Solanum lycopersicum: one gene and its partner. The protein of the gene in region 2 interacts with the protein of the main gene of each other region in a biochemical or structural test. Links are inferred from orthologs where the notes say so. Each region holds a gene or a part of one and is shown on either strand. Other genes may lie near its edges.

Region 1 (3,584 bases), on a different chromosome or scaffold from region 2:
TTGATAAATGAGGAAATTACTCTTTATTAACTACAAACAAATGGATTAATATCAACTATCACTCTTTTGATAATTGATTTATAATGTTAGCAAAAAACTTCAAGACAGCTAGCCAAGAAAGGCCTCTGTTTTTTTTTTTAAAACTAATTTTAAAATTCATTCATTATATTTCTATTTTCAAGTAAATTATGCAAAATAATATGTTGTGAATCAAAAGATCACATTTTTGTTTCTTTCATCTTATGCTAACATTATTTATTCCTATATTTTTTTTAATTAAAAGACAAACACTAAGAATTACAGTTAATGAATTACAATTGGCCAATATCATCACTCTTTTTTAGTAAGAAAAAAAAATTAATTGTTAGCTTTGATGGTAGATTTTTGAATCAGATTAATCTTCAAATATCTGTTTAAACATAAATTTTTAAAAGTTTCATGTTTAATCTTCAAAGTTTTATGTTTAGACATACTAATATTGGGTCGATTTTTGAAATAATATTTTATTTTACTCACAAAATTCAAATTTTTGCCATAACAAATATATTCCGAAACAGAATTTTGAATTTAAGCACAATAAAATGAAACAAAAAATGATAATTAAAGAGAGAAACTATATAAAGGAACCATATTTTATATTTCTTTTATATATATAGCTAATAGATTTGCTTACAACTTCTTGGCTCCAAAACAGAACTAACCCCACATACTAAAACAAAATATTTAAACACAGACAAAAAAAAAACCCCATATATTCCTTAATTCCTCTAAACCTATATAACTAAAAAAAAAAAAACACCAACAACCATAACTTCCTACTTTTTTTTTGACCCCCTTACTATAATACTAATAATATTTAACACCCCCAAAATAAATTTTTTTTTTAAAAAGAAGTAACATAATATTAGTTCAATGACTAGATTGGACCCCTTCAAATAATTTTTTTTTTGTTTTCACTTTTTCTTGGATTTTGATGAAGCATTCTTGGATGAAGAACAATTTGTGAGATTAAGATCAGGAATTGAATTGTTTTTTCCTCCACCATTGTTGTTGTTATTATTATTGTTGTTGCTAGGACCAGCTTGTGATAACCTATGTTTTAGTTCACTCAAAAGTTGTTGATTTTCTTGATTCAATAACTCTGCCTTTTTCCTTAGCCTTTCATTTTCAGCCATTATGTAGCAATTTTGCAAGTAGAGCTTTGAGTTAATTCTGTCCATTTTCCTGCAAAAAATTTAAAAAAATAAAAAAATCATGAGTATGTTGTTCGGAGTCTTGAAAAAATGTACGACGAAAGTTTTGAAGAATCTGACATTGTATCGAATATTAAGGAATTTGATACATGTGTGACAAAATGTTTAAAGGGTACATGATACTTAACTAACATGTTATAACAAAGTTATAAAAACTATTGAATCATTTATGATTTACCTACAAAGAAGAGCTTGAGAAAAATGGGGGGGAAAAAAAAGAAAAGGAAATGATGATATGCATAGGGAGGGAATTAATGAGAATGTGTAAAAGAAAGTATAGTAGGAGAAATCATTACAATTGCAAAGAAAAACAAATGATCAAAAATTTAGAAAAAATAAAAAAAATTGTAACAACAAAAAAAGCAAATAGAATAAGGAAAAACAAAATCTCCAAATCTTCACACTTTCAAGAATTGGTACTTTTTTTTTTTCTTATTGTTTACCTCACTTGGAAGACAAGAATATATAAAGTATATAACAAGAGACAAACTTCTTATTTACACACACAAAGAAAAAAAAAAGAAAAAAAAAAGGGGGGGGGGGGGGGGAATTTATTATATTCCCAAGTTGAACATGCAATGAAATTTAAAAAAAAAAAAAAGTTTCAAGAAGACATAAAAACATGACCTTTTGACAATTTTAGTTTATGTGAGGAGACAAAAGGAATAAGAAAGTTTTCAAAAGTTGTAAACTTTAAAAGAGAAAAAAATGTACCAATTTTTGTGGTTGTGGGGTGGGGTGGATTCTTGATTTTTTCAAAAAAGATTACCTTTTGGTTAGTTATAGAACAAGAAGTATAGTAGCTAGAAGAAGAAAGAAGATTTTGTTTGGTGAGTTTATCACTTACAACAAACAACAACTTATACTTCTTGGGCAGTAAAAACAAGAGATATATATAGTGGAAAAAGTTAAGTAAATCTTTGGGGGTGGGGTGGGGGTGGGGTGGGGGGGGGACAAAGCTTTTTGTATCTCTTTTTCTATCTGCACAACAATCATGCATGTGTAAGCATGGAAGGCGGCTTGTGTATAATTGTATATAGTTGTTGTATCTATAGGCAAGGACTTCAAACCACCTTCTTTCATTCTACTATGGTAATGATTACGGACTCACGGATTCAGAATTTGAAATTTATGAATTATTATGGTAATTTTAACTTTTATATATCACATTTTACGTATTTTTTTAGTTTATAATCGTAAGATTTAATTTTGTTTTTTTTCATATTATATCAAATCAAAATCAGAAAAATAAATTGAAACAGATGAATTTGTAAGTTGCACAAGGTTTAGGAGAGTTATTGAGTTTCCTTAGTTATAACTAAGTCATTTTTCGAGTTCTGTAATAGAATTTTTTCTTTTTGGATTTTGAATTATACATGTAAAACTCAATGACATTCTTGAAATTTTATTTTGAAAATGACTATTTTATGGTGATAAGATTGGAAGTAATTGTTAAATGTTTTTTTTTTGTTCTGATGTATAACTCGTAGGTTGAACTCTAAATCTGTCATGAATAGTGATTGATTTTAAATTTTAATAAAATGTACATATTATTTTTATAATTAAAATATTTATTAAAATTTACTGATATTATCGATGTATATAACTTAAATTGAGATATTATCCATATATTGGAAAGGATTTAACCTTGTTCCATTCTACTATGATGATGATTATAGTGTTTTTTTTAGACTAAAGTGATGGAGTCAATTGAATGATTATAGTTAAAGGGCATTTGAGTTTTTTTATAAAAGACAATAAGGGTATTTTTGTCATTTCATATAGAGATTTGGGCCTTAATATGGGCATTTTGGGCAATTCAAAAGTGTGTCCAATGATGATAGGGGTTTGGCCTTCCAAAGATTCGCAATGATGTTTTGGATTGGTTCGAACCAAGACAGGCCCATCATCACATCCACACCCCTACCCCCCTTTTACCCCCCACCCCCTCTAACCATGATTAAATTTTTAATTTTTAATTTTTTCTATTTTACATAATTCTTCTTTTGTCCTCTTTATAGAAATTTCATCTAAAACATTCATTGTATTAACTTAGACTCATTTGCCATTTAAAAAAAAATTAATCGATATTTGATATTCATATCAGATCTGATTATGTATGAAAAGTATTATGATATATTAGGAGTAAAGCTCCATTTTAATGTAGTTTCATATTGGATATTTGAACGGAAAATATTTAATTAATTAAAATGATGAAATGTTTATCTAATTGAAACTCTATTATCTAGATTGTAGTTGGTGGTTTTGAGAGGCAAATTTGGAATTTGGAACCTTACTATTGTGGCTAAAAAGAGGTTTGTTTGTGTATTA
Region 2 (2,565 bases):
ATGTTGTAAAATTTTGTCTAGATAATCAATGTCCCAGAAAAACATGCAATTGCTACTGCAGTGTGTAAATACTGATTGCGTAAAGCAGGTTAATGTGGGTAATTGAGCTGTGCTCTAACTCTGTTGCTGGATATAAAGGATTGCACATAAATTGTTTGATACTGAAAATGCCATCATTTAGCCATTCTTCCTAGCATATTTCACTTGGTACCTCTCCGTCTTAATTTACGTAACACTATTTTGATTAAGCTTAGAGATAGTGAATCACTGTGACTAACCAGAGATATGAGCTATATAAATTTTGACAATAGGTATATGTAATGTTAAATCTACAGTACATGTAAAGGTGATCGAGTTGGTTGAACATGAACGAATACCACTACATGCTTTCTAAATCAAGCTTGATAACTTGATTTATCCAAAGGGATAGCGGTTGTGAGTTACCTTGTATAAATAATAAACTTTCTGAACTAGAAAAAAGGAAAAATATAACATTCAGAAACAAGCAATTTCACTCGAAAAAAAACAAAAACAAAACTGCACTAAAAAGATTTACACAAGAGTATCAAGAAATCAAGAAATGAAATACACCTTCCAGTCTAATTAAATTAATGCAGAAGAAACTGGGAATTTTACATATTACAAAAAATTTCGTTTGTCCCCTCATTCAACTGTGTTCCTGGCTATCAGTATTCTGTGAGAAAGGTCGAAAAAGAAAAAAAAAATATGATAGCATTACACGAATGACCAGTTGATAAACGAAAAGGCCAAACAGTGGACAGCATTTTCTTCAGACGATGCAAACACTTTCCACGCGATAGCTTGTTCATATGAAATATGTCGTCCCATTGTTGACATGCAGATACCACCAGGCAAACACGCGAAACCCTGTGCTCAAGAAACAACAGTGGGAAAAAAGAAGTAGTCAAGACGAAAACAGCCTCAACTTTGGTCTTTTGGCTCTGCAATAGCCCGTGGATCAAACCATTATACTAGATGACATCAGAATAGCCAACAGAATGTCAAGAGTAGCTAATTACCTGTTCCATAATCTTGGCAAATTCTGAGAGCAACACTTTCCTTCCGGATTCATCAAATATCTTATCTAGAGAAATGTCCTGTAATGCAACTAATGTTGTCTCCAGCATGTCGAGTCCGGCCTTATTAGCAAAAATGAAAACTGGCAGCGACTGCAACAACAGAGAGAACATCATCAACTTACTGACACGTTCTTGTAAAAAGATAAAAGACTAGAAACGTGACGAGAATATTTAATGTGGGGAAGTCAAAAAAATGTCTGGAACACTAATGAGGACAATTAAACGCCAATCAGATAAGTTCTCCTTTATGTATATGTTCAGGCTTCATAGCAACAATAACATACAGCATTTCTTAATTACAATTTCGTTATATCCACACGAGTTCATAAATAAATTCTGTAGCAAAAGAACTTCATACCTTCAATGAGCAGCACAAAATTGCATCCTGGTGTTGCCAGAGATTCTTTAGTACTGATTCATCGCCACTAGAATCAGCTCGAAGTAACTCTGTTCCCATGTGATAACTGGAGATAAAATGCAAAAGAAAATGGAATGTTAACAATCCGACAAGCACTTCTAATGTCTTATCCCAATAAGTTGAGAAAAAAAAAATTCTCAAATAATCGACAGTATCTCACTCTTACTGAAAATCAGAGATGCAGTAAGCCAAAACTAGCAAGCATGATCATGCACATGAAAAGCAAAACGTTGCGCAGAACAGAAGGGAACAAGTGTCACCATGATCAAGAAATCATCAAGGCTCACAAGACTATTACAGTTGTGAGGACCTTACCTATAGCTCTGGCAGATCCAATGCGACAATGTTACAGCTTCTGGTGAGCCTGGAGAAAGCTTGGCCCCCAGTGTAGGATTCATTCCCGTAGGAGATATTGCCATGGCAACTCGTTGGACAGACGAAACCACACTGCGAACATACTGTCGGGCCATGGTAGCCACATTGTCCTGAAGATTGTCCTCAAATGGAAATTGGAAAGCGATTGTCAGTACAGATCGTGCACTGTAACAAGAAGCTGCATCTCCAGTAGTCGAGTTTGTTGCTGGGCCCACTTCAAGACTTGATGCTAGATCTAATGTTCTATGTGCGTTCAACGTATCCTGGGCATCACCCTGAGTAATAAAATCAGAAGTCATGCTGTAATGTAAATGTTCAACTCAGCTCATTCTCTAAATTCAATGGAGTTGTGGATGAATAATTTACTCAACTGATTTTGATTCGAGAGGAATAATGCGAAATCCGGAGGGAAGCAAAGGTGCATCATCAGGAAACATCTCATCAATAGGGGCAAAAACTAGTTCAGAACAGGCTCCAACTGCATTCTCATCAGTGCCACTACACATCTGGAAATGATTGTTGTCTTAGCATATCCTTCAAGAATGTTTGTGAAACATCAAAGTAAAGGCTGAAGTACCTGTAAAAGGTGAATATCTCTTGGCATAAAAGCATCTTCCTGTCCAATAGAGTGCCCTTCAAGTCTAATAACTTCAAGCATCTGTAAAACAAAAA

Evidence for each region.
Region 1: the proteins of homeobox-leucine zipper protein REVOLUTA (region 2) and DTM form a complex in vitro, tested with the Arabidopsis thaliana proteins (2 studies listed by BioGRID). The link is inferred for Solanum lycopersicum from reciprocal best matches to the Arabidopsis thaliana genes REV and ZPR3.

Annotation. Positions count from the first base shown.
Region 1 is NC_090808.1:3,533,465-3,537,048, reverse strand, and holds DTM (protein LITTLE ZIPPER 3), read right to left. Parts: upstream 2,121-3,584; 5' UTR 2,023-2,120; exon of another isoform or gene 1,968-2,022; intron 1,900-1,967; exon of another isoform or gene 1,881-1,899; intron 1,564-1,880; exon of another isoform or gene 1,432-1,563; intron 1,225-1,431; 5' UTR 1,221-1,224; coding exon 954-1,220; 3' UTR 619-953; downstream 1-618. UniProt on the Arabidopsis thaliana protein: Competitive inhibitor of the HD-ZIPIII transcription factors in shoot apical meristem (SAM) development. Acts by forming non-functional heterodimers. Part of a negative feedback loop. Involved in SAM development and lateral organ patterning.
Region 2 is NC_090810.1:59,494,078-59,496,642, reverse strand, and holds the end of homeobox-leucine zipper protein REVOLUTA, read right to left. Parts: intron 2,552-2,565; coding exon 2,471-2,551; intron 2,400-2,470; coding exon 2,265-2,399; intron 2,169-2,264; coding exon 1,834-2,168; intron 1,565-1,833; coding exon 1,459-1,564; intron 1,191-1,458; coding exon 1,041-1,190; intron 889-1,040; coding exon 736-888; 3' UTR 510-735; downstream 1-509. UniProt on the Arabidopsis thaliana protein: Probable transcription factor involved in the regulation of interfascicular fiber (cortical cells) and secondary xylem differentiation in the inflorescence stems. Required for lateral shoot meristems (LSMs) and flower meristems (FMs) initiation.